Linked DNA regions of Anolis sagrei. The protein of the gene in region 2 interacts with the protein of the main gene of each other region in a pairwise test. Links are inferred from orthologs where the notes say so. Each region holds a gene or a part of one and is shown on either strand. Other genes may lie near its edges.

What was found.
Region 1: the proteins of SNX15 (region 2) and RTN4 interact in binary tests that used the Homo sapiens proteins (3 or more experiments, as listed by UniProt). The two-hybrid records come from large-scale screens. The link is inferred for Anolis sagrei from reciprocal best matches to the Homo sapiens genes SNX15 and RTN4.
Region 3: the proteins of SNX15 (region 2) and ARL6IP1 interact in binary tests that used the Homo sapiens proteins (3 or more experiments, as listed by UniProt). The two-hybrid records come from large-scale screens. The link is inferred for Anolis sagrei from reciprocal best matches to the Homo sapiens genes SNX15 and ARL6IP1.
Region 4: the proteins of SNX15 (region 2) and REEP6 interact in binary tests that used the Homo sapiens proteins (3 or more experiments, as listed by UniProt). The two-hybrid records come from large-scale screens. The link is inferred for Anolis sagrei from reciprocal best matches to the Homo sapiens genes SNX15 and REEP6.

Annotation. Positions count from the first base shown.
Region 1 is NC_090021.1:16,435,115-16,442,180, forward strand, and holds the start of RTN4 (reticulon-4), read left to right. Parts: upstream 1-4,055; 5' UTR 4,056-4,462; coding exon 4,463-5,057; intron 5,058-7,066. UniProt on the Homo sapiens protein: Required to induce the formation and stabilization of endoplasmic reticulum (ER) tubules. They regulate membrane morphogenesis in the ER by promoting tubular ER production.
Region 2 is NC_090032.1:21,597,184-21,604,102, forward strand, and holds the start of SNX15 (sorting nexin-15), read right to left. Parts: upstream 3,004-6,919; 5' UTR 2,936-3,003; coding exon 2,837-2,935; intron 1-2,836. UniProt on the Homo sapiens protein: May be involved in several stages of intracellular trafficking. Overexpression of SNX15 disrupts the normal trafficking of proteins from the plasma membrane to recycling endosomes or the TGN.
Region 3 is NC_090034.1:25,324,781-25,332,559, reverse strand, and holds the start of ARL6IP1 (ADP-ribosylation factor-like protein 6-interacting protein 1), read left to right. Parts: upstream 1-4,766; 5' UTR 4,767-4,837; coding exon 4,838-4,873; intron 4,874-7,779. UniProt on the Homo sapiens protein: Positively regulates SLC1A1/EAAC1-mediated glutamate transport by increasing its affinity for glutamate in a PKC activity-dependent manner.
Region 4 is NC_090034.1:62,189,596-62,196,671, reverse strand, and holds the start of REEP6 (receptor expression-enhancing protein 6), read right to left. Parts: upstream 3,014-7,076; 5' UTR 2,944-3,013; coding exon 2,829-2,943; intron 1-2,828. UniProt on the Homo sapiens protein: Required for correct function and survival of retinal photoreceptors. Required for retinal development.

The DNA.
Region 1 (7,066 bases), on a different chromosome or scaffold from region 2:
TTTATTATAAATCGTGTCAGGAGCAAACCAAACAGTTGTATTGCATTTTTTAACAAACAAACAAACAAAACACAAAGTTTGCAAGCTTGGTAGTTGATTAAATGTCCATCTGGCCACTTGGAGTGCCTCTGGTGTTGCCTCAAGAAGGTCCTCCATTGTGCATGTAGCAGGGCTCAGGTTGCATTGCAGCAGGTGGTCTGTGGTTTGCTCTTCTCCACACTCGCATGTCGTGGATTCCACTTTATAGCCCCATTTCTTGAGGTTGGCTCTGCATCTCGTGGTGCCAGAGCGCAGTCTGTTCAGCGCCTTCCAAGTCGCCCAGTCCTCTGTGTGCCCAGGGGGGAGTCTCTCATTTGGTATCAGTCATTGATTGAGGTTCTGGGTTTGAGCCTGCCACTTTTGGACTCTCGCTTGCTGCGGTGTTCCAGCGAGTGTCTCTGTAGAGCTTAGAAAACTATTTCTTGATTTAAGTTGTTGACGTGCTGGCTGATACCCAAACAGGGGATAAAGGATCTGATTAAAAATATTCTTTCTAGGAATCTATGGTCCTTCACTGAGATTTCATGGTCATTTTCCAGAAGATGTTGACCATAGATGAAGCCATGTTGGAAGGCCTAGACACATTCCCTCAGGTTAAAAAACAACCCAACGATTTCTTCATTCCAGGTTTTTCACATTCATGGGAGTCCTGTGGCCCTAACCCTATGAATGTGGAGGCCTGCCTGTATTGATGCTGAGTACTTTGATCTTCCTTTGATCAGTATTGCTATAATGCACAGCACAACATTAGTATATATACTGTAATAGTATTAGTAATATTACATGTAATATACACTGCACCACTTCTTGCAGCAGCTGTGGATGTGATCTATTGTTTCATCTGCTTCCTTGCAAGGTCTACACTTGGGATCTGTCGTGACTTTTCAATTCTGGCTTTGATGGCATTGGTTCTAATGGCTTGTTCTTGGGCTGCCAGAATCAGGCCCTCCGTCTCCTTTTTCAAAGTCCCATTTGTGAGCCACATCCATGTTTTTTTCTTTGTCAATTTGGCTCTCAAATTTTGCCAGAAACTGTCCAGTCTTTTGCTGGTTTTCTCTTCTGCTATGGATTGTGTTTTTACGGTATTCCCTCTTTGTCTTTTGCACTTGAAGCAGTTTACTACGATTGACTTCCCTCAATGTTGGTTCTTGATTGCCTTTCACATAATCTGCCAGTGCATGTTTCTCTTCTTCTACCATTTTTGCTTCACTTGCAGAAGCCCTCTCTCTGCCTCCTGATTTTCTGGGCAGGTAAAGTCTGTTGACATCACTACACGGGTGTAATGAGTAGTGAATTGTCATCAGTTTTATTGTTTTTCTATCCAGATCATTCAGCTCTGCTTGTGTCCAGTTCACAATCCCACCAGTGTATGTAATGACGGGGGTGGCCCAGGTGTTGATAGCCTTGATATTGTTTTATATTGCTTTCAATTGTGTTGTTATTTGTTTTATCTTATGTTTTAATTGGTGAAAGTGTTTTACATGTGTTTTTTAATTGTAATCTTGGGCGTGCCCCTTGTAAGCCACCCCGAGTTCCCCAGGGGAGATGGTTGGTGGGGTATAAAAATAAAGTTATTATAATTGATTGTATTTCCGCCATTTAATTTACTCTTCAAAACCTTTCTGACTCTTTGGATATATTCTTTGCTGACCACATTTTTCACTTGCCCATGCCTGATATTGTCCAACTGTAGTATGCCCAGTGTGCTGTCGCACGCTGGGCCTGTGCATAGGACTGTAGACAGGACATATATTCTGTGTGCCCAACAGGACGCCGGGGCTGCCTCAGATTAAAGGCCCTTGGATTTCCTTAAAACAGAGTCTTTAGATTGTTTAAAGGTTCAACAGTGTTCTTTATTGATGAAAACAAACAATACTTTAAAGCTTTCTTAACAGTCTATTGGCTCTCTCAATCTTGTCCACAGGGAACAGGCACTATCTTCATAACTGTAACTAATGGGGAAATTCTTAACTTCTAATCTGGGCAGTCTGTCTTTGCCTCTGATGGCGTGGAGCCCCTACACCCGGTACCAACTGCATCTGGCTTCCGCGAGTGACCCTTACCAAGCAGAGCTTTGTAGACTTCCAGGGAAAAAGGAGTTCAGGTTTCAGTGATGGCTGACTGAAGTCCCTCAGCAAAGGAGCTGTAAGGCTGTATATCTTCTGGCCAAGCTGTGGGGCTGTATAACCCCAGCCAAGCCATAGAAGACAAAGCTTTCTACAGGAGCTCTTGGTATTATGTCCTGCATGGAAAGCTTCTCTGTGTGGACTGAACCCAAACTGGCTCCTATTCCCTCCAAAACCCAAAGGGGGCAGGACCAGGGAACCGAACTATAATTGACAGGTGGCTTGTCCTATGATTGCAGCCAAAAGAAGCCACCTATCTGCAGAGTCCCTGAAACTTAGGACTACAACAAACATTAAATGCAAAGCAAACAAAATTGGAGCTCCTGGTGCAGTTGTACCTGCACACCCAGATATTATTATTACTATTATTGGCTATCCCTTCCAACTGGCCGTATTACGTCCCTCTACGTCCCACCCTGGAGTCTAAGATCATCTGGGGAGGCCCTGCTCTCGACCCTGCCTCTATCACAAGTGAGATTGGCGGGGACGAGGAGCAGGGCCTTCTTGGTGGTGGCCCCCCACCTTTGGAATTCACTCCCCGGGGAAATTAGATCTGCAATATCGCTCCTTTCCTTTAGGAAAAACTGAACACATGGATTTGGGACCAGGCATTCGGATAATCGGGCAGATAAAAGGACTTGACAATGATTAGGAAATGATTAATGGAATAGAACTATGGAACTCTGAAAGACGAAGCGCTGAGCATGAGAATAGTTTTTTTTATAGTTTTTATATATGACATGTTATGTACTGATTGTTTTGATTGTTTTTAACTGCAATAATTGTTTTAGCCATGGTTTTGTATATTATGTGTAATTTGTACGGCATCAAATGGTGCCTTCTTTGTAAGCTGCCCTGAGTCCCCCCTCGGGGGTTGAGAAGGGTGGGGTAAAAGTAACAGAAATAAATAAAATAAATAGGTTCTTGTGGGTTTTTTCGGGCTATAGGGCCATGTTCTAGAGGCATTTCTCCTGACGTTTCGCCTGCATCTATGGCAAGCATCCTCAGGTCTGTTGGAAATAGGACAATGGGTTTATATATCTGTGGAATGGCTGGGGTGGGGCAAGGAGCTCTTCCCTGCTAGAGCTAGGTGTGAATGTTTCAGCTGATCACCTTCATTAGCATTTGAAGGCCTGCCTGAGCCTGGGAAAACCTTTTGTTGAGAGGTGTTAAGATGTGCCTGGTTGTTTCCTCTCTGCTGTTTTGCTTTGTAATTTTGGAGTTTTTTAATACTTGTAGCCAGATTTTGTTCATTTTCATGGTCTCCTCCTTTCTGTTGAAATTGTCCACATGCTTGTGGATTTCAATGGCTTCTCTGTGTAGCCTGACATGGTGGTTGTTGGTGTGGTCCAGCATTTCTGTGTTCTCAAATAATATGCTGTGTCCAGGCTGGTTCATCAGGTGCTCTGCTATGGCTGACTTCTCTGGTTGAAGTAGTTTGCAGTGCCTTTCATGTTCCTTGATGCGTGTCTGGGCAACTCTGTGTTTGGTGGTCCCTATGTAGACTTGTCCACAGCTGCATGGTATACAGTAGACTCCTGCAGAAGTGAGAGGATCCCTCTTGTCCTTTGCTGAAGGTAGCATTTGTTGGATTTTCTTGGTGGGTCTGTAGATTGTTTGTATGTAGATTGTTTTGTTTGTAGATTGTTTGTAATAAAATAAATAAATATTATTATTATTGTCTATCTCTTCCAACTGGTGGTTCGGAATTGTGGGAGCTGAAGTCCAAAACACCTGGAAGGCCCAAGTGTGCCCATGCCTGGGCTGCATCCTCTTCTCCATCCCCACCTCGAATGGTCAATTCCCTCTTAGCCCCGCCCCCTTTGTGTCCCCTCCTGGATGCTCATTGGGCCTTTGGGTTGCCTGTCTATCTTCTTGGGTGGGAGAAGAAGAAGAGAAGGAGGAGGACAGACAGGAGCCGCTCGCTTCAACTTCTCTTCCTCCTCCTCCTCGTCCTCCTCGTTAGTTGCAGGCTCCCTCCTCCCCGTCCAAGCCCAGCCTCCTCCTCCTCTCCTTCCTCCTCCTCTTCTGTGACTCATCCGGGCGTGGAGGTGGTGGCTGGCTGGCGGGCTGCGTCTCCCCCTCTTCTCTCTCTCTCTCTCTCTCTCTCCTGAAGCAGCAGCAGCAGCCGCCCTCCTTGTTCATTCCTCCTCCTCCTCCTTTTCTACTTTTACTCCTCCTCCTTCTCCTTCTTTTGGGGCGAAAGAGTGAGAGAGTGTGCAGTTTTCCCTTCCTTCCTTCCTTCCTCCCTTTCTCCCAGCTCGGCTCCTCTTGAGTTCTTCTCTTTGCAAGCCAGGATGGACGACCCCGACCAGTCGCCTTTGGTCTCCTCTTCGTCTTCTTCTCTCCCTCCTCCTCCTCCTTCCACAGCCTCCCAGCCCCAGCCCCCCCTTTTCCAGTACCAGTTCGTGAAGGACCCCGAGTACGAAGAGGAGGAGGAGGAGGAAGAAGAGGAGGAAGATCTGGATGATGAGCGGCTGGAAGTGCGGGAGGTGAAGAAGCCCCTGTCCGCCCCGGCCCCGACCATCCCTTTCAGCCCCCCTCCGGCTCCTTCCGGGCCCCCTCCGCCCTTGCTGGACTTGGGGGGCTTCGGGGAGCCGCCCCCGCCCGCCAAGGCCCCCTCCTCCTCCCCGCCCCCGCCGCCCCCTCCGCAGCCGGCTTGGGGCCCCAGCACCACCACCCCCTCCTCCTCCTCCTCTTTCCCTCCTTCCTCCTTCTCTTCTTCTCCTTCTGCCCCCGAGGAGGAGGAGCAGCCCCCGCCACCCCCGCCGCCCCGAGGGGAGCCCAAGCCCCCCGCCATCCCGCCCCGCAACGCCCCCCAGCTGCCCCCCAAGAAGGAAGAGCAAAGCCCCGCCGCCGCCAAGGGAGACCCCAAGGGCTCAGCCTCGCCCGGTGAGTCGGGGAAGGAGAGTGCGCATGCGCCTGCAGAGCTGGGGGGGGAGATGCTTTGGCTTTTTGGGGGGAGGGGGCAGTGGGGTGTCTGTCTATCGAGGGCCAGGGGTTTTTTTGAAGGGGGAAGACTGCTTCAGGGAAACTTCCTAAGGGGGGGGGGGACCATGGGGGTGTGGTGGTCTGCCTTTAGTGGAACTTGGGGGGGGGGTACCATGAGGGTCCTTTGTAGTGAACCTCTCTCTTGTATTTTTTTTTGGGGGGGGGGAGTTGACCAGAGGGGTGTGGTGGGCCATGGGGGTGAATGCTTTTTGGGTGGAGAACATTGTAGTGAACCTTCTGTGTGTATATTTTTGTTGGAGGGGGAGTTGACATCGGGGGCCTTGTAGTGAACCTCTCTGTATGGGTATTTTTTGGGGGGAGGAATTGACCTGAGGGGTGTGGTGGACTGTAGTGGAACATGGGGTGAATGTGTTTTTTTTGGGGGGGGGGCTATAAGAGGCCTTTGTAGTCAACTTCTCTATGTGTATATTTGGGGGGGGGGGTTGACCTGAGGGGCGTGGGTGGGCAGCCTTTGTAGTGGAACTTGGGGTGAATGAGGGGAGTGAGCATAAGAAGCCAATGTAGTGAACCTCTCTCTGTGTGTATTTGGGGGGGGGGGGGGAGTTAACCTGAAGGGTGTAGTAGAGCTTGTGGTGAATGTTTTTTTTTGGGGGGGGGGAGACTATAAGAGGCCTTTGTAAAGAACCTCTCTCTCTGTGCATTTTGGGGGGGGGTTGACCTGAGGGGCGTGGTGGGCTTCCTTTGTAGTAGAGTTCGGGGTGAATGTTTGAGGGGAGAGGCCATAAGAGGCCTTTGTAGTTAACCTCTCTCTTTGCGTTTTTTTGGGGGGGGGAGAGTTGAAGTTTGGGGTGAATATTTTTTGGGGGAGACTGTAAGAGGCCTTTGTAGTCTACCTATCTCTGTGTATATTCCTTTTTGGGGGGGGGGAGGGTTGACCTGAGGGGCGTGGTGGGTAGCCTTTGTGGTGGGCCTTGGGGTGCCTCCATGTGTGCTTTTTTTTGGGGGGGGGGAAGCTAGGCTTCCCTCCCCAAACTCCTGTCAGGCCAAGGCTTGAAAGTGGGGAGACTATTGGGGGTGGGTACATTGGTAGTGGACCTCTGGGTATACATTTGTGGTGGTGAGAGAAACCTTGGCCTTGACAAGGAGAGCATGATGAAGGGGAGCCATTGTAAGGAGTGTGTTTTTGGGGGGGGGGGAGGGTGAGACAAGGAAGGCAGAAATGAGTGAGGGGAGTGGTCGTATTGGAATTAATGGATTCTGGTTCCCAATAACTCATGGAGGGGCCTGATAGGAAAGGCCTAGAAGACCTAGTAGGAGGGAGGGGTCAAGGGGAAAATGGACATTGAGGGCGTGTATGGGAAGAACTGGGGTGGCCTCACCACAGGGTAATGTGGGGAGGGTCTGCTTTTGTGTGGGAGAACTTTTGGAGGGGGTGGATTCAGTGGCATGTCAACTCTCCATGACTCATGGAGTAGGCCTTCCAGACGCTGTGAAGAGAGGGCTTTTTTTTGCGGGAGGAAATCGAGAAAGGAGGTTGTTCATGTGAGGAATTGGGTGGTGGGGTGGTGGTGGAGTGGTCTCACTATGGGTGAATGTGAGGAGGAGGTGTGGGTGTGCTTTGTTGAAGAGGGGAGTGTGTCTGGAAGGCGTTGGGTGATGGAGGGAGGAATAGCATGGCATGAAAGGGTGAGTGGGGGCTTTGGGAAGTGTAGCTACAAAGATTGAGTAAGCAGCATGTGCAAGCATGCTGAGGAACAGGTGGAAGTATGTGGTATGTGTGTGTATGTACACACACACACAAGCCGTGCCCACCACGTGTTGCTGTGGCCAACCTTCCCTCCCTCTTTCTCTCCTTCCCCTTTTTACTTTCCTTCTCTCCTTCCTTCCTTCTCTTCCTCTTTCCTTCCTTTCCCCCTTTTTCTTTCCCTTCCTCTTTCCCCCCTTTCTTC
Region 2 (6,919 bases):
AATTATTATTACTATTATTATTATTATTTGATTTATTCCAATTTATTTAATTATTATTATTATTATTATTACTATTATTATTATTATTATTTGATTTATTCCAATTTATTTAATAATAATAATAATTATTATTACTATTATTATAATAATTATTATTATTTGATTTATTCCAATTTATTTCGCTCTATACAGCGCCAAAATTTATGCTTTCCTTGTTTTGCACAAACTGGATCAAACCCATATTTTATTTTTGTTAATTTAATTAATTTAACTTTTTAAATTTAATTTTTAAATAAATAAATAATAATAATAATTATTATTAGTAGTATTAGTATTATTCCAATTTATTTCACTCTACACAGCGCCAAAATTTATGCAAACTGTATCACACCCATTGCTGCGTATTTAATCCCATACAGCTGAGACTCTGCACATGCTCAGAGGCAATAATAATGATAACGAGAAGCCCCTTTGGTATCGATATTATTACTAATAGATACTATTACTAGTCGTTCCCTTGATATTAATAATTCCCTTAAGCCATCTGATAGGACCCATATCTATCCTTTATGCAATCAGACACTCTGCACATGCTCAGAGGCAACAACAACAACAACAACAACAATAGTAATAGTAATAACCACAATAATAATGAGCAGCTTTGGGTCAACAACAACAGCAACAATAATAATGTGCTTTTCCCTATTCATTCCCTTTACCCAGATCTATGCAATCAGACACTCTGCACATGCTCAGAGGCAACAACAACAACAACAATAACAGTAATAGTAATAACCACAATAATAATGAGCAGCTTTGGGTCAACAACAACAACAACAATAATAATGTGCTTTTCCCTATTCATTCCCTTTACCCAGATCGATGCAAGCAGACACTCTGCACATGCTCAGAGGCAACAACAACAACAACAGTAATAGTAATAACCACAATAATAATGAGCAGCTATGGGTCAACAACAACAGCAACAACAATAATAATAATGTGCTTTTCCCTATTCATTCCCTTTACCCAGATCTATGCAATCCGACACTCTGCACGTGCTCAGAGGCAACAACAACAACAACAATACTCACTCCCTTTCCCCAGATCTATCATTCCTGCAATGGGACACTCTGCACATGCTCAGAGGCAATAATAATAACAACAATAATAGTAATAGTAATAACCACAATAATAATGAGCAGCTTTGGGTCAACAACAACAGCAACAACAATAATAATAATGTGCTTTTCCCTATTCATTCCCTTTACCCAGATCTATGCAAGCCGACACTCTGCACATGCTCAGAGGCAACAACAACAATAGTAATAGTAATAACCACAATAATAATGACCAGCTATGGGTCAACAACAACAGCAACAACAACAATAATAATGTGCTTTTCCCTATTCATTCCCTTTACCCAGATCTATGCAATCAGACACTCTGCACATGCTCAGAGGCAACAACAACAACAGTAATAGTAATAACCACAATAATAATGAGCAGCTTTCGGTCAACAACAACAACAACAATAATAATAATGTGCTTTTCCCTATTCATTCCCTTTACACAGATCTATGCAATCAGACACTCTGCACATACTCAGAGGCAACAACAACAACAACAACAACAATAGTAATAACCACAATAATAATGAGCAGCTTTGGGTCAACAACAACAGCAACAACAATAATAATGTGCTTTTCCCTATTCATTCCCTTTACACAGATCTATGCAATCAGACACTCTGCACATGCTCAGAGGCAACAACAACAACAACAATAATAATAGTAATAGTAATAACCACAATAATAATGAGCAGCTTTGGGTCAACAACAGCAACAACAACAAGAATAATGTGCTTTTCCCTATTCATTCCCTTTACCCAGATCTATGCAATCAGACACTCTGCACATGCTCAGAGGCAACAACAACAACAACAATAGTAATAGTAATAACCACAATAATAATGAGCAGCTTTGGGTCAACAACAACAGCAACAATAATAATGTGCTTTTCCCTGTTCATTCCCTTTACCCAGATCTATGCAAGCAGACACTCTGCACGTGCTCAGAGGCAACAACAACAACAACAATACTCACTCCCTTTCCCCAGATCTATCATTCCTGCAATGGGACACTCTGCACATGCTCAGAGGCAATGATAATAACAACAACAATAATAATAGTAATAGTAATAACAACAATAATAATGAACAGCTTTGGGTCAACAACAGCAACAACAACAATAATAATGTGCTTTTCCCTATTCATTCCCTTTACTCAGATCTATGCAAGCAGACACTCTGCACATGCTCAGAGGCAACAACAACAACAATATTCACTCCCTCTACCCAGATCTATCATTTCTGCAATGGGACACTCTGCACATGCTCAGAGGCAATAATAACAACAACAACAACAATAATAATAATCATTCCCTTTACCTAGATGTATCATTCCTGCAATGGGACACTCTGCACATGCTCAGAGGCAGCAACAACAACAACAACAATAATATTCACTCCCTTTACCCAGATCTATTATTGATGCAATGGGACACTTTGCACATGCTCAGAGGCAATGATAATAATAATAATAATAATAATAATAATAATCACTCCCTTTACCTAGCTCTATCATTTCTGCAATGGGACACTCTGCACATGCTCAGAGGCAATAATAATAATGATAATAAGCTTTCAAAAATAATAATTTGCATTTCCCTATTCATTGCTTTCAGCCAGCCTTTAATTGCAATGCAAGGGTCTCTGCACATGCTCAGAGGCACCCTTAATTGGGGTCTATGTGCGTTTCAAGGCCCCCCTCTCCACCTTGGCGGTGACTTTGTACTCGGTGTGTCCCTTGGGGTGGCCGCGGGGCTCGGTGACCGTGTAGAAACGCTGGTACTCCTCTTTGGCCCGGCGGGACATTTCCGTGACGCGGCCCCTTTAAATCTGGGACCTCCCCGTTGGAGCCAAGGGAGGGCTCCACTGCGCCTGCGCGCGCCTGCCTCTCCTGGCTGGAGACAGGGCTAGGGAGCGTCTGCAAAGTGCAAACGCCAATAGGTCAATAAGGGCTCCTCTACAAAAGGCAAAACCTGGTCCAAGCAGAAAAAAATAAATAAATAGAAACTATTGACAATTTTTTACTAGGAATTTATTATTTTATTAATAAGTAAATAATAAGAGGGAAAAAAAGAGCTGGAAGAGGGGAAAAAAAGAAGAAAAAAAGACCCCTCCCCTATTTATTTATTTATCCCCAATTATTATTACTTCCAATACTAATAATAATAATATTTGCAGTACTGTCAATCAATCACGTTGGCTCCCACAGACCATAGAACCATAGAATCATAGAATCAAAGAGTTGGAAGAGACCTCCTGGGCCATCCAGTCCAACCCTATTCTGCCAAGAAGCAGGAATATTGCATTCAAATCACCCCTGACAGATGGCCACCCAGCCTCTGTTTCAAAGCTTCCAAAGAAGGAGCCTCCACCACACTCCGGGGCAGAGAGTTCCACTGCTGAACAGCTTGGATGGTGTAGAGTTGGAAGAGACCTCATGGGCCATCCAGTCCAACCCCATTCTGCCAAGAAGCAGGAATATTGCATTCAAATCACCCCTGACAGATGGCCATCCAGCCTCTGCTTAAAAGCTTCCAAAGAAGGAGCCTCCACCACACTCCGGGGCAGAGAGTTCCACTGCTGAACAGCTTGGATGGTGTAGAGTTGGAAGAGACCTCATGGGCCATCCAGTCCAACCCCATTCTGCCAAGAAGCAGGAATATTGCATTCAAATCACCCCTGACAGATGGCCATCCAGCCTCTGCTTAAAAGCTTCCAAAGAAGGAGCCTCCACCACACTCCCTCCGGGGCAGAGAGTTCCACTGCTGAACGGCTCTCACAGTCAGGAAGTTCTTCCTCATGTTCAGATGGAATCTTCTCTCTTGTAGTTTGAAGCCATTGTTCCTTTGCGTCCTAGTCTCCAGGGAAGCAGAAAACAAGCTTGCTCCCTCCTCCTCCCTGTGGCTTCCTCTCACATATTTATACATGGCTATCATATCTCCTCTCAGCCTTCTCTTCTTCAGGCTAAACATGCCCAGCTCCTTAAGCCGCTCCTCATAGGGCTTGTTCTCCAGACCCTGGATCATTTTAGTCGCTCTCCTCTGGACACATTCCAGCTTAGGGTCAATATCTCTCTTGAATTGTGGTGCCCAGAACTGGACACAATATTCCAGGTAAAGTGGTCTAACCAAAGCGGAATAGAGCATGGGGAGCATGACTTCCCTGGATCTAGACACTATGCTCCTATTGATGGAGGCCAAAATCCCATTGGCTTTTTTTGCCACCACATCACATTCCTGGCTCATGTTTAACTTGTTGTCCACGAGGACTCCAAGATCATTTTCACACGTACTGCTCTCAAGCCAGGCATTGTCCCCCATTCTGTATCTTTGCATTTCGTTTTTCCTGCCAAAGTGGAGTATCTTGCACCACTGCGACCCCCACCAATGATGGACCAGGACCACACTGGGCACACAGACCCCTCCCCTATTTGCAGTAATGTCAATCAATCAGGTTGGCTCCAATCAATCACTGCTCACCTATTTGCAATACTGTCAATCAATCGCGTTGGCTCCCACAGACCACTGCGACCCACACCAATGACGGACCAGGACCACACTGGGCACACAGACCCCTCCCCTGTTGCAGAACTGTCAATCAATCACGTTGGCTCCAATCAATCACCCCTCCCCTATTTGCGGTACTGTCAATCAATCACGTCTTAGAAAAATACTCAGTATTTGCTTTTTTGTAATGAATGCTCCCATTCTGTTTTTTTATGAAAACTCCATGATGTTGCTCAGGTTAGTTTGGTAAGGATAAATATTAAAAATAGTCATTGTTAGATTTTGGATTTTAAGAATAGACCTCTTAGAAAATGCATAACTGTATAAATAGGGCCATTTATAAATTTGGACAGCTGATGTGGTGCAACTTCCATCAGTGCAAGACCAACTTACTTCTCTACTAACCAAGTAACGCATTTTCTAATGGTATGTATTATATTTTTTTCCCAATTTACAGATGTAGAAATTAGTAAATCATTGGATTTACTGTAGCCATACTAGATTGGAATGTGTCCAGAGGAGAGCGACTAAAATGATCAAGGGTGTGGAGAACAAGCCCTATGAGGAGCGGCTAAAGGAGTTGGGCATGTTTAGCCTGAAGACGAGAAGGCTGAGAGGAGGCATGATAGCCATGTATAAATATGTGAGAGGAAGCCACAGGGAGGAGGAGGGACCAAGCTTGTTTTCTGCTTCCTTGGAGACTAGGACGCAAGGGAACAATTCCTTCAAACTACAAGAGAGGAGATTCCATCTGAACATGAGGAAGAACTTCCTGACTGTGACAGCCGTTCAGCAGTGGAACTCTCTGCCCTGGAGTGTGGTGGAGGCTCCTTCTTTGGAAGCTTTTAAACAGAGGCTGGATGGGCATCTGTCAGGGGTGATTTGAATGCAATATTCCTGCTTCTTGGCAGAATGGGGTTGGACTGGATGATGGCCCATGACTGTGAGAGCCGTTCAGCAGTGGAACTCTCTGCCCCGGAGTGTGGTGGAGGCTCCTTCTTTGGAAGCTTTGAAACAGAGGCTGGACGGCCATCTGTCAGGGGTGATTTGAATGCAATATTCCTGCTTCTTGGCAGAATGGGGTTGGACTGGAGGATGGCCCATGACTGTGAGAGCCGTTCAGCAGTGGAACTCTCTGCCCCGGAGTGTGGTGGAGGCTCCTTCTTTGGAAGTTTTGAAACAGAGGCTGGATGGCCATCTGTCAGGGGTGATTTGAATGCAATTTTCCTGCTTCTTGGCAGAATGGGGTTGGACTGGAGGATGGCCCATGACTGTGAGAGCCGTTCAGCAGTGGAACTCTCTGCCCCGGAACGTGGTGGAGGCTCCTTCTTTGGAAGCTTTTAAACAGAGGCTGGATGGCCATCTGTCAGGGGTGATTTGAATGCAACATTCCTGCTTCTTGGCAGAATGGGGTTGGACTGGAGGATGGCCCATGACTGTGAGAGCCGTTCAGCAGTGGAACTCTCTGCCCCGGAGGGAGTGTGGTGGAGGCTCCTTCTTTGGAAGCTTCTAAACAGAGGCTGGATGGCCATCTGTCAGGGGTGATTTGAATGCAACATTCCTGCTTCTTGGCAGAATGGGGTTGGACTGGAGGATGGCCCATGACTGTGAGAGCCGTTCAGCAGTGGAACTCTCTGCCCCGGAGTGTGGTGGAGGCTCCTTCTTTGGAAGTTTTGAAACAGAGGCTGGATGGCCATCTGTCAGGGGTGATTTGAATGCAATTTTCCTGCTTCTTGGCAGAATGGGGTTGGACTGGAGGATGGCCCATGACTGTGAGAGCCGTTCAGCAGTGGAACTCTCTGCCCCGGAACGTGGTGGAGGCTCCTTCTTTGGAAGCTTTTAAACAGAGGCTGGATGGCCATCTGTCAGGGGTGATTTGAATGCAACATTCCTGCTTCTTGGCAGAATGGGGTTGGACTGGAGGATGGCCCATGACTGTGAGAGCCGTTCAGCAGTGGAACTCTCTGCCCCGGAGGGAGTGTGGTGGAGGCTCCTTCTTTGGAAGCTTCTAAACAGAGGCTGGATGGCCATCTGTCAGGGGTGATTTGAATGCAACATTCCTGCTTCTTGGCAGAATGGGGTTGGGCTGGATGATGGCCCATGACTGAGAGCCGTTCAGCAGTGGAACTCTCTGCACTGGAGTGTGGTGGAGGCTCCTTCTTTGGAGGCTTATAACCAGAGGCTGGATGGCCATCTGTCAGGGGTGCTTTGAATGCAATATTCCTGCTTCTTGGCAGAATGGGGTTGGACTGGATGGCCCAGGAGGTCTCTTCCAACTCTTGGA
Region 3 (7,779 bases), on a different chromosome or scaffold from region 2:
CCGTTTTCCTGCTTAGTTCAAATACTCCTTAGCTGTCACATCCCGGCCAACCCAATACGATTATGCTTGCCGATTAGACCTGGGCAGCATTGTGAAACCACGTTTTAGTGTTCTCCTTTTGAGGCCACATGCAGAACATAATTGGACAGAAGGGACATCATAATAGGAAATCATCGACATATACAAGTTAAATTTGCTAATGCCTGCCTCCATGGTTGAGGCACATTAAATTCAGAGCCACCTTTCTGAGCATGCAGGCAGACATTCAAATAACTTTCTCAACCGGAGCTTTCTCAAACTGGTTCCATTTTGAACTAGAGGTATATATGTCCTGCCTTTCTGAAAAATAAACAAACTTTTAAAAAAGCAAAAAAAACAAGCACCTTGTGAAGGAGCCAGTATATTACTGCTACTAATTGTAAAGGCTTGGCCACTAATTTGCAACAATGCCACCAAATTGTAAGGAGGTATAGGTATAACTGTTACATATATGTAGAAAGTTGGAAAAAGGAGTCACCTCTTTGTGATGGCTTTTTAAATTGATGACACAACCAATAGCTTGTAATGTTGCTTTGGTCTTTCTCTAATATGTAGCATGACTTGACTTGGAAAAGAGTCAGGCTTGACTTCAAAAGGAAACGAACAAGTTTGTTGAGGTACAGAAATGTGATGGTTTCAAAGTTTCTCTTCTCTTAGAGGTACAGATCTTTAATGGTCACGTTCATAACAGTCCTTAAATAACTCTTAGAAGGTCTAATTATTCTAACAAACAGGTCTTAAACTTAGTTCTTTTAGAAAGAGATCTTTCTTTAACAGGTTATTTCAGGCACACGCTTATCCTTTCTTTATGATGGTTCTGTTACAATAAAGATGCTTATTAGGGTTTCCCTTCTTTTCCACAACAGTTACTTTTAATATAAATCATAGAATCATAGAGTTGGAAGAGACCTCATGGGCCATCCAGTCCAACCCCCTGCCAAGAAGCAGGAATATTGCATTCAAAGCACCCCTGACAGATGGCCATCCAGCCTCTGTTTAAAAGCTTCCAAAGAAGGAGCCTCCACCACACTCCAGGGCAGAGAGTTCCACTGCTGAACAGCTCTCACAGTCAAGAAGTTCTTCCTAATATTCAGGTGGAATCTCCTTTCTTGTAGTTTGAAGCCATTCCGTGTCCTAGTTTCCAGGGAAGCAGAAAACAAGCTTGCTCCCTCCTCCCTGTGACTTCCTCTCACATATTTATACATGGCTATGATGTCTCCTCTCAGCCTTCTCTTCTTCAGGCTAAACATGCCCAGCTCTTTAAGCCGCTCTTCATAGGGCTTGTTCTCCAGACCCTTGATCATTTTAGTCGCCCTCCTCTGAACATATTCCAGTTTGTCAATATCTCTCTTCAATTGTGGTGCCCAGAATTGGACACAATATTCCAGGTGTGGTCTAACCAAGGCAGAATAGAGGGGTAGCATTACTTCCCTAGATCTAGACACTATGCTCCTATTGATGCAGGCCAAAATCCCATTGGCTTTTTTTGCCGCCACATGACATTGTTGGCTCATGTTTAACTTGCTGCTCTTGAGCCAGGCGTCCCCCATTCTGTATGTTTGCATTTTGTTTTTCCTGCCAAAGTGGAGTATCTTACATTTGTCACTGTTAAACTTAATTTTGTTAGTTTTGGCCCATCTCTAATCTGTCAAGATCATTTTGAATCCTGCTCCTGTCCTCTGGAGTATTGGCTATCCCTCCCAATTTGGTGTCGTCTGCAAACTTGATGATCCTGCCTTCTAACCCTTCATCTAAGTCATTAATAAAGATGTTGAACAGGACCGGGCCCAGGACGGAACCCTGCGGCACTCCACTCGTCACTTCTTTCCAAGATGAAGAGGAAGCATCAGCCTTTCCCTGTAGTTCTATGACTACAGAATTCTCTCTGGTTCTTTACACAGGAAAGAACCAACCAGTTCTGCAGTTCACCAACCACAGACTGACCGCTTCCAAAATGGCTGTTCTGCCAAGTGGCAGTTGGCTCTGCCCCTATCTCCATAGCAACTCAGCTCAAAGCAAGCTAAGCTGGTTACCATCCCCCAATATTATGCAATACTATATACTTACCATTACTAACCCTTATCTATGTATATAATAAAAGTCAAAGTTTGTATGCGGAGGACAAAAGTGTGGCGGTGTGGCGGTGTATGTGCCAGCATTCTGATTGGCCACCCTGAAAGTTCCAAGATTCTGATTGGCTGCCGCTGTGGTGCTATTTGCATATGATCTCTGATTGGTCAGCTTTACAGGAGCCCCTGGTGGAGAAAAGGTTTCATGACAGAAACGGAGACATGAGAGAAGGAAATTTGCATATGGTCTCAGATTGGCCAGCCTCAATTCCAAGATTCCGAGATGACAAAGAGAGGAAAGGAAAGGCCAGGGGCTCTGTCAGAAAATTACCAATACAGACCAAACTTGGCACACAGAGCCCCCATGACCCACTCTACATCCTGCTGCAGTTTTGGAGGAGGACAGACGATGGATGATGCGACTTCCAGTACCTTCACTCACATTCTGAGACCTCTGCAAATCTCATGCAATGACTGATCAAGAGCATACTTGGCACATAGACCTCTCATGACCCACTTTACGTCCTGGTGTCATTTGGAAAAAAAACGGAGGTGGTTGATGGGACTTGCAGTAACCTCACTCACTTTCTGAGACCACTGAGACCCTCGCCAATGACTAATCAAGACCAAACTTGGCACACGGAGCCCCAATGACCCGCTCTACACCCTGGTGCAGTTTGGAGGACAGACCATGGATGATGGGACTTCAAGTACCTCTACTCCCTTCCCAAGATTGCTGCAACCCTCATCTAATGACCGTTTAAGACCAAACTTGGCACACACAGCCCCCATGACCCACCCTACATCCCAGTGCTGTTTGAAGGATGGACGATGGAGGATGGGACTTGCAGTACGTTCACTCACTTCCTGAAACCATAGCAAAACTCATTCAAAAACGAATAAAGACCAAACTTGGAACAGAGAGCCCCCATGGCCAAGTCAACATTCTGGTGAGGTTTGGGGGAGTACAGACTATGGATGATGGGACTTCAAGTACCTCCACTCACTTCCCAAGACCTCTGCAACACTCATCTAATGACCGATCAAGACCAAACTTGGCACACAAAAACCCCATTACCCACTCTCCATCCTGGAGCAGTTTGGAGGAGGATGGACCACAGATAATGGGACTCACAGTACCTTCACTAACTTCCTGAGACAACTGCGAGTCATATAAATAACTGATAAAGACCAAACTTGATACACAATTCCTTTCTTAAATAACCCGGGCAGCGCTGGGTCCCCAAGCTAGTCTATAATAATACATAACTGCAAGAAAAAATGTACACTTCATCACACTTGGGTATCTCAAAAGTCTCACGCCTGCTTAATATCAACATTTTGTTTTGGCCAATGACCAAAATACAAACGACAACAAAAAGGTGTTGTGTTCATCCTGTGAAGTGACCAACCCCCTTCTTTTCTTCCTTATTTCTTCCCTTCATTTCCTTTTTTTCCTGTCCTTCCTTTTTTGCTTCTTCCCTTTCCTTTTTCTTTCTTCCCTTCCTTCCCTTTTTCCTTCCTTCCGTTTTTCTTTCCCTTCTTCCTTTCCTTCCTTTTTTCTTACTTACCTTCATTCCCTTTTTCCTTCTTACCTTCCTGCCCCTTTTCCTTCCTTCCTTCTTTCTTTCTTTCTTTCTTTCCTTCCTTTTTATTTCTTTACCTTCCTTCCCTTTTTCTTCCTTCTTTCCTTCAAGGCTTGCATTTGGTGTTTGCCATTTCCTAGCTTTTCCCCAATTCAAAGTGGCTCAGAAACCTTTTGTTTCTATGTAGTGGTGCCTGTGGTTGATAAGAAACAAAATGCTTCTTTTCCAATTTTGTAAAGCAGACCTTTACAAAATGTCCAGTCTCGATAAAATAGTGAAGAGTAGAGACATCAGACTGGCAACAAAGATCCGCCTAGTCAAAGCCATGGTATTCCCTGTAGTCACCTACGGATGTGAGAGCTGGACCTTAGGGAAGGCTGAGCGAAGGAAGATTGATGCTTTTGAGCTGTGGTGTTGGAGGAAAGTGCTGAGAGTGCCTTGGACTGCGAGAAGATCCAACCAGTCCATCCTCCAGGAAATAAAGCCCGACTGCTCATTGGAGGGAAGGATACTAGAGACAAAGTTGAAGTACTTTGGCCACATCATGAGACAGGAAAGCCTAGAGAAGACAATTATGCTGGGGAAAGTGGAAGGCAAAAGGAAAAGGGGCCGACCAAGGGCAAGATGGATGGATGGCATCCTTGAAGTGACTGGACTGACCTTGAGGGAGCTGGGGGTGGTAACGGCCGACAGGGAGCTCTGGCGTGGGCTGGTCCACGAGGTCACGAAGAGTCGGAGACGACTGAACGAATGAACAACAACAAAGCAGACCTGGGCCAACTTGAGCTCTCTTTCCAGTGTTTTGGACGTCAACTCCCACAATTCTTCACAGCCTCGGCCCAACCTTAAAGGGCTGGGGAGCAAAAGGAAGAGGCCTGAGGATGTGAGGAATTGTGGGAGCTGAAGTCCACAACATCTGGAGAGAGGGCCCAAGCTGGCCTAGGCTTACACTACAGGGAGCCGCGCCTTCGTTTTGAAAATGTAAATAGGTAGGCGATTGGCCCGGAGGCTAACAAGACGACGCTGATTGGCTGGTGGGGTTTGGTTCCCCTGACCAATGGGAGGCGAGGTGAGAGAAAAGACTTGCCTTTCTTGGGGGCGGTGCCGGGCGGTTGACGGTTGGAGCTGTCGAAGGCGGACAAAATGGCGGAAGGCGACAACAGGAGCACCAACCAGCTGGTGGGTGAACGGTCTATTCTTCTCTCTCTCTTCTAGGCAAGGGGGAGGCGGCGTGGCCTCAGTCGTGGTCCCCATCCAGGGCGGGTTTGGCGAGACTTAAGGGCCCAGGCTGAGGCCTCGTTTCCGGGCTCAGGCCCAGAGCTTGCTTGGCCTTGAATAATGGCCCTTTGCTTTCAGGGTCTCTCTTTCAGTAGAATTGGTGAATGCAGGGATCATGGCACGGAGTAGATATTCTGGGGTGCGCGGTTAGGTCCATGTCGAATAGTAGAGTAGACGCCCAGTTAAGAGACCCCAGGGGCCATCCAGTCCAACCCCCTTCATGCAGGAAAAACACCATCAAAGCACCCCCAACAGATGGCCGGCCACCCAGCCTTTTTAGTAATAATAATTATAATAATAATAGCAGAAACCCCAAGGACTATCCAGTCCAACCCCATTCTGCCCTGCAGGAAAAGCACCCTCACAACACCCCCGACAGATGGTAATCCAGCTTTTCTAATAATACTAATAATACATTATATTATATAATACTAATACCTGTAGTATAATATACTGGTCGCGTATTATATATGTTGTGGTATAATAATATAGTACAATATAATGATATAATAATAATTGTATATTATATATTACATGTAATATTACTAATAGTATTGCAGTATAGTGGTATAGTAGAATATAGTAATATGTAATACTAATATTGTGCTAGGCTAATAGTATAGTATATTGTATAGACATATAATATTGATAATAATATTGTAATATAGTAATGCTAATGTATTAAATAGAATTACTACTGTTAATATTTAATCACATATACTGTTTTATTGTTGTATGTTTGTGTATTTTAAGTTGTAATGTTCCTTTATTGTGAGCCGCTCTGAGTGTCCGTATGGAGAGATAAAGCAGGATATAAATAAATAGATAGATAGATAAATGGAGCAACCCCAGAGACCATCCAATCCAACTCTCTTCTGCCTTCATACAGGAAACGCCCAATCAAAGTACCCCCAAGAGATGGCCATCCAGCCTTTGCAATAATAATAATAATAATAATAATAATAATAATAATAATAAGAGCTATCCCAGGGACCACCCAGTCCAACTGCCTTCTGCCATGCAGGAAAAACACAATCAAAGTACCCCCAACAGATGGCCATCCAGCCTTTGTAATAATCATCATCATCATAGCAGAAACCTCAGAGATCATCCAGTCCAACTAACTTCTGCCTTCATGCAGGAAAATCACCATTAAAGTACTCGCAACAGATGGCCACCCAGCCCTTCTAGTAATAATAATAATAATAATAATAATAATAATAATAATAATAATAATAGGAGCAACCCCAGGGGCCACCCAGTCCAACCCCCTTCCACTCCACCTTCATGCAGGAACAGCACAATCAAATCACCCCTGACAAATGGTCATCCGGCATCTTTTTAAATCTTCCAAGGAAGAAGTTTCCACCAGATTCCGAGGCAGAGAGTTCCACTGCTGAACAGCTCTCACAGTGAGAAGTTCTTCCTCATGTTCATTGAAATCTCCTTTCCTGTCATTTGAGCCCATTGCTCCATTGAGTCCTAGTCTCCAGGGCAGCAGAAAACAAACCTGCTCCCTCTTCCTTTTTACATCCTTTCACATATTTATACAGTGGCTTAACATAAAAGCATTTGTACACGATTTCAAATATACAAATATGTAAACATTAAAACAGGATTAAATATAAACAGTATACAGGGTTAGTCAAAATGCATAGGCCAATAAGCTATTCAATTGAATGGCTTATTGGCCTATGCATTTTGACTAACCCTGTATATTTAAAATCCCTAGTTAAAAACCATTGAAACATATCCAGAGTTAAAAACCACTATACCATACGCTCTGTATTGACTTGATACTAGTTTTAAAACATAGTGATTAGAACCAATTAGAAAATGCCATTTATAACCCAGGAACAAAAATTGTGTTACAGAGTGTTATTACTACTGCATTGATTTATAGCCCTCTTTATTCTCTTAATGAGACCCAAAGCGGCTGGTTATGAGAGGAGTCCGGGTGGCCTCATGGTTTGAGCATTGGACCAGGGCTCTGGAGGCTCAGCCATGGAAACCAACTGGGCAAGTCACCCTCTTAGCCACCAATAACCTTCTTTGGTGGCTGAGAGGATGAACAAGTGTTATTGGCCTGGCCCTTCTGAACAGATCTTGCTAAATTGTGACCTTAGGATCGCTGTAAGTGGAGAAGGACTCAGAGGCACACCAGAACATTGTGTCCTGTGAAAGGTTGTGTCCAATAACACATGTTCATCTTTAAGGCATAAAACTTTTGATTTTGATGGCCCAGAGTGAAGGTATGCCAGGTGGAGGTGCATTTCCAATTGCCTTTTGAAACTCCTAGGATGCTTTAAAATCAGGGGAGAGGTTAATGCATGAAGTGAGAGAAGGGAGAAAAAGATGTTTTGTCAAGTAGGTTTTCTGATAAATGAGCATAGGGTAAGTAGGTTAGCCTCCTCTCCCCTTCTACATACAGGTCGTACCCGAGTTACAAACACCCAACTTACAAATGACCCACAGTTAAGAATGGGACTGAGACAACAGGAAGTGAGGGGAATCTAGTCATGGAAGAGTTATTATCATGGGGAAACAAGATCCCCACTGAAGGTTTATCTGGAATTGTTATTTCCACAACTAGACACATTTTTCAAAACCCAGTTATCATAGGGACAGAAAAGGAGGCGAAATCCTCTAAAACAGTGCCACAAGCAGCAACAGAACACCACAGGAGTGTTCGCCCTTCCCTATGTGATCCAAAACACACTCTCTCTCACACACACACATATATATGTATGTATATGGACTTATACTTTAAAATATATCTGTTCCAGCATGCATACAAATTCAGCTTC
Region 4 (7,076 bases), on a different chromosome or scaffold from region 2:
ATAATATATGCCATTAATAAAAATATAATTAAAAATATAAATATAACAATATGATATAATATATCATATTATAATATTTAATACATTTAAATTAATAACAATAAATCATAATACATTATAACACAAAATAATATAATATATACCAATAAGAATAATATTATAATATTAATATGCTATATTAATGATTATATGATATCTACTTTATAATAACATATTTAATATATTATATATAATTGTATAATATAAATATTATATATATAATATAAAATATAATACAATAATAATAATACCCCACAAAGAAACTCACTTATTGCATGTAGTTACGCTACATAAATTTTACGTTTCATGGATGAACCCCATTTTTAGCGACAGCATATTAAAATATTATTATTATTATTATTATTATTATTATTATTATCTTTATTTGTACCCCGCTAGCATCTCCCGAAGGACTCGATGCGGCTTACAAAGGCCAAGGCCTCAATACACAACATAACAATACAACACCTAAAGCAAATTAAAAACAGTTAAAGCAATATTAAAACAACAAGCAATAAACAATACACCAAAACACAATAAAACTGGGCCGGGCCAGAGTAAAGGGTACAGAATTAAAAGTACTGATGTGACAGGTGATATGTAAGGATTATAGGGCAAGTGCAGTGTGCAGTGCGCGGCAATATTGGAAGATATGCACAGGAAATACATTGAATAATTATTTTTAAAACCCATTAAAATAACATTAGATATTAGAATAACAACAACAACAACAATAATAATAATTTCCTCCTGCTGGGAAAGGCTGCTCTTTCCGTTGGACTGGAAAGATCATCAGGCAGGATGGAGGTTGATGGGAATTACAGTGCAAAAAGAATGGGGAGGGGTAATATAGAAAGAGCAATGGACCCCAAGTAATAATAACAACAATATATAATAATATAAAAAACAAATATAATAATAAAGGAAAAAAACAAAATACAACAATAATACAATAAAATAACATAATAATACAAATCTTCAATATTATTTAATACAATGTAAAATACAAAAATATAATATGTAATATAGGTAAAGGTAGTCCCCTGACATTAAGTCCAGTCATGTCTGACTCTGGGGTGTGGTGCTCATCTCCATTTCTAAGCCGAAGAGCCAGCGTTATCCATTGACACCTCCAAGGTCATGTGGCCAGCATGACCACATGGAGCGCCGTTACCTTCCCGCCGGAACGGTACCTATTGATCTACTCACATTTGAATGTTTTCGAACTGCTACGTTGGCAGAAGCTAGGGCTGACAGCGGAAGCTCACGCCACTCCCTGGAATCGAACCTGCGACCTTTTTGGTCAACAAGCTCAGCAGCTCAGTGCTTTAACCCACTGCGCCACCGGGGGCCATATTATAATACAAAAAATAACAATACAATAACAATATAATCTAATAATATATCATAATAAAATGTATAATAATAATGTATAATAATATATAATAATAAAATAACGTAACAATACAATTACTATAATTTATAATATTATTTTATTATATCTTATATTATTGTATTGTTATTTTATTTGTATTATTATAATATATTATAGATTATAATAAAATGTATAATAATAATGTATAATAATATATAATAATAAAATAATACAATTACTATAATCTATATTATTTTATTATATCTTATACTATTGTATTGTTATTTTATTTGTATTATTATAATATATTATAGATTCTAGTAATTGTATTATTTTATTATGATATATTATTATACATTTTATTATGATATATTATGACATATTATTTCATTCTATCTTATATTATTGTATTGTTATTTTATTTGTATTATTATAATATATTATAGATTCTAGTAATTGTATTATTTTATTATGATATATCATTATACATTTTATTATGATATATTATGACATATTATTTCATTATATCATATTGTATTGTTATTTTATTTGTATTATTATAATATATTATAGATTCTAGTAATTGTATTATTTTATTATGATATATCATTATACATTTTATTATGATATATTATGACATATTATTTCATTATATCATATTGTATTGTTATTTTATTTGTATTATTCTAATATATTATAGATTATAGTAATTGTATTATTTTATTATGATATATTATTATACATTTTATTATGATATATTATGACATATTATTTCATTATATCTTATGTTATTGTATTGTTATTTTATTTGTATTATTATAATATATTACAGATTCTAGTAATTGTATTATTTTATTATGATATATTATTATACATTATTATTATACATTTTATTATGATATATTATGACATATTTTATTATATATTATTGTATTGTTATTTTATTTGTATTATAATATATTATAGATTATAGTAATTGTATTACTATTTTATTATGATATTATACATGATTATTATGATATATTATGACATATTATTTCATTATATCATATTGTATTGTTATTTTATTTGTATGATTATAATATATTATAAATTATAATTGTATTATTTTATTATGATATATTATTATACATTTTATTATGATATATTATGACATATTATTTTATTATATCTTATATTATTGTATTGTTATTTTATTTGTATTATTATAATATATGTCATAATATATCATAGTACAAATAACATAATATATACCAATAATAATACAATAATAATAATAATAATAATAATAATACTAACATAACCAGGCGCTTCTCTTTGCCTGCCCACTCCTCAGGCTGAGGAGAGCAGCCAAAGGTGGGCCAAGGGCGCTTGTGCACATGCGCAAACTTCCCAAGGGCAGCTAGGGGCTCACCTGTGGCCAGGTAATAGCGCTGAACGCCGGTCCTGGCCTCCAGCCCGCCCAGGAGGTCGCCCAGCCAGCCTGGCTGGTCCAGAAAGGCCTGGAAGCGACGCTGCAGCGGGTCCATCGCAGAACAAAGCCCAGACGGAGACCAGCGGGGATCTCTAAGCCGGTCAGCTCTTACAGGTGGGCGGGGCTTCCAGGGCAGAAGGCAGAGCCCCTTCACCGAGCAACCAATGGGAGAGAAGGGGCGGGGCCACACCTGCCAGGGGAAAATACTTCTCTAAACTGGGTTGCATCTGGAACATGGCCAGACAGCCCAGAAAACACAGCAACCCAGGGATTCTGGCCATGAAAGCCTTTGACAACACTTCCCTAAACTCTAAGCCGCTCATAGAATCAAAGAGTTGGAAGAGACCTCATGGGCCATCCCCCTGCCAAGAAGCAGGAATATTGCATTCAAATCACCCCTGACAGATGGCCATCCAGCCTCTGTTTAAAAGCTTCCAAAGAAGGAGCCTCCACCACACTCCAGGGCAGAGAGTTCCACTGCTGAACGGCTCTCACAGTCAGGAAGTTCTTCCTCATGTTCAGGTGGAATCTCCTCTCTTGTAGTTTGAAGCCATTGTTCCGCATCCTAGTCTCCAAGGTAGCAGAAAACAAGCTTGCTCCCTCCTCCCTGTGGCTTGCTCTCACATATTTATACATGGCTATCATATCTCCTCTCAGCCTTCTCATAAACATGCCCAGCTCCTTAAGCCGCTCCTCATAGGGCTTGTTCTCCAGACCCTTGATCTGATGTCCTTAGGGAGTGCATTCCAAAGTCGAGGGGCCACCACAAAGAAGCCCTCTCCCTCGTCCCCACCACTCGTGCCCACATCAGTTAGGTTTAGGTTCACAATTACAATCATAGAATCAAAGAGTTGGAAGAGACCTCATGGGCCATCCAGTCCAACCCCATTCTGCCAAGAAGCAGGAATATTGCATTCAAATCACCCCTGACAGATGGCCATCCAGCCTCTGTTTAAAAGCTTCCAAAGAAGGAGCCTCCACCACACTCCAGGGCAGAGAGTTCCACTGCTGAACGGCTCTCACAGTCAGGAAGTTCTTCCTCGTGTTCTGATGGAATCTCCTCTCTTGTAGTTTGAAGCCATTGTTCCGCGCCCTAGTCTCCAAGGAAGCAGAAAACAAGCTTGCTCCCTCCTCCCTGTGGCTTGCTCTCACATATTTATACATGGCTATCATATCTCCTCTCAACCTTCTCTTCTTCAGGCTAAACATGCCCAGCTCCTTAAGCCGCTCCTCATAGGGCTTGTTCTCCAGACCCTTGATCATTTTAGTCGCCCTCCTCTGGACACATTCCAGCTTGTCAATGTCTCTCTTCAATTGTGGTGCCCAGAATTGGACACAATATTCCAGGTGTGGTCTGACCAGAGCAGAATAGAGGGGTAGCATGACTTCCCTGGATCTAGACACTGTTGTTGTTCATTCGTTCAGTCGTCTCCGACTCTTCGTGACCTCATGGACCAGCCCACGCCAGAGCTCCCTGTCGGCCGTCACCACCCCCAGCTCCTTCAAGGTCAGTCCAGTCACTTCAAGGATGCCATCCATCCATCTTGCCATTGGTCGGCCCCTCTTCCTTTTTCCTTCCACTTTCCCCAGCATAATTGTCTTCTCTAGGCTTTGCTGTCTCCTCATGATGTGGCCAAAGTACTTCAACTTTGTCTCTAGTATCCTTCCCTCCAGTGAGCAGTCGGGCTTTATTTCCTGGAGGATGGACTGGTTGGATCTTCTCGCAGTCCAAGGCACTCTCAGAACTTTCCTCCAACACCACAGCTCAAAAGCATCTCTCTTCCTTTGCTCAGCCTTCCCTAAGGTCCAGCTCTCACATCCGTAGGTTACTACAGGGAATACCATGGCTTTGACTAGGCGGATCTTTGTTGCCAGTCTGATGTCTCTACTCTTCACTATTTTATCGAGACTGGACATTGCTCTCCTCCCAAGAAGTAAGCGTCTTCTGATTTCCTGGCCACAGTCTGCATCTGCAGTCATCTTTGCACCTAGAAATACAAAGTCTATCACGGCCTCCACGATTTCTCCCTCTATTTTCCAGTTGTCAATCATTCTTGTTGCCATAATCTTGGTTTTTTTGACGTTTAGCTGCAAGCCGGCTTTTGCGCTTTCTTCTTTCACCTTGATTAGAAGGCTCCTCGGCTCCTCCTCGCTTTCGGCCATCAGAGTGGTGTCATCTGCATATCTGAGGTTGTTAATGTTTCTTCCAGCAACTTTCACCCCAGCTTTGCATTCATCCAGCCCCGCACATCGCATGATGTGTTCTGCATACAAGTTAAAAAGGTTGGGTGAGAGTATGCAGCCTTGCCGTACGCCTTTCCCAGTCTTGAGCCAGTCTGTTGTTCCGTGGTCAGTTCTTACTGTTGCGACTTGGTCCTTGTACAGATTCCTCAGGAGAGAGACAAGCCGCTCATAGAATCATAGAATCAAAGAGTTGGAAGAGACCTCATGGGCCATCCAGTCCAACCCCCTGCCAAGAAGCAGGAATATTGCATTCAAATCACCCCTGACAGATGGCCATTCAGCCTCTGTTTAAAAGCTTCCAAAGTTGCGCCCGTACCTTGGGAAGTCTGATCTGGCCACAGTGGTCCATGCTCTTGCTACATCCTGAATAGACTACTGCAACACACTCTACGTGGGGTTGCCCTTGAAGATTGTTTGGAAACTTCAACTGGTCCAGCGAGTGGCAGCCAGATTGCTCACCGGAGCGACATATTATTAAAATAAAATAAAGAAGGAGCCTCCACCACACTCCGGGGCAGAGAGTTCCACTGCTGAACGGCTCTCACAGTCAGGAAGTTCTTCCTCATGTTTATTTATTTACCTTACTTATATACCGCTGTTCTCAGCCTGAAGGTGACTCACAGCGGTTCACAACAAATACGAACAGCAAAAATTCAGTGCTACAGTATAGAAACAGTTGACAACCTAACACATTACACAATTAATAAACAGTTACTACAATACCCATTCACTGTCGTCTCGTCATCAAAAACATGTTCCAGATTCGTCATCCATTGTTCCATTCCAGTGTTCAGTAACCATGTTCAGAAGGAATCTCCTTTCTTGTAGTTTGAAGCCATTGTTCCGCGTCCTAGTCTCCAGGGAAGCAGAAAACAAGCTTGCTCCCTCCTCCCTGTGGCTTCCTCTCACATATTTATACATGGCTATCATATCTCCTCTCAGCCTTCTCTTCTTCAGGCTAAACATGCCCAGCTCCTTAAGCCGCTCCTCAAAGGGCTTGTTCTCCAGACCCTTGCTCATTTTAGTCGCCCTCCTCTGGACACATTCCAGCTTGTCAATGTCTCTCTTCAATTGTGGTGCCCAGAATAGGACACATTATTCCAGGTGTGGTCTCACCAAAGCAGAATAGAGGGGTAGCATTACTTCCTTAGATCCAGACACTATGCTCCTATTGATGCAGGCCAAAATCCCATTGGCTTTTTTTGCCGCCACATCACATTCTTGGCTCATGTTTAACTTGTTGTCCATGAGGACTCCGAGATCTTTTTCACACGTACTGCTCTCGAGCCAGGCGTCCCCCTATTTTGTATCTTTGCTATCATATCTCCTCTCAGCCTTCTCTTATTCAGCTAAACATGCCCAGCTCCTTAAGCCGCTCCTCATAGGGCTTGTTCTCCAGACCCTTGATCTGATGTCCTTAGGGAGTGAATTCCAGAGTCGAGGGGCCACCACCAAGAAGCCCTCTCCCTCGTCCCCACCAATCGTGCCCGCATCAGTTAGGTTTAGGTTCACAGTTAGAATCATAGAATCAAAGAGTTGGAAGAGACCTCATGGGCCATCCAGTCCAACTCCCTGCCAAGAAGCAGGAATATTGCATTCAAATCACCCCTGACAGATGGCCATCCAGCCTCTGTTTAAAAGCTTCCAAAGTTGCGCCTGTACCTTGGGAAGTCTGATCTGGAAAACAAACGGCAGCCAGTGGAGCTCCTTGAACAGGAGGGTTGACCTCTCTCAATGACTTAAATCAAGAAATAGTTTTCTAAGATCTACAGCAGGGGTCCTCAAACGTTTTAAACAGAGGGCCAGGTCACAGTCCCGCAAACTGTTGGAGGGCCAGATTATAATTTGAAGAAAACATGAATGAATTCCTATGCACACTGCACATATCTTATTTGTAGTGCAAAAGACACTTACAAACAATACAATAATTAAAATGAAGAACAA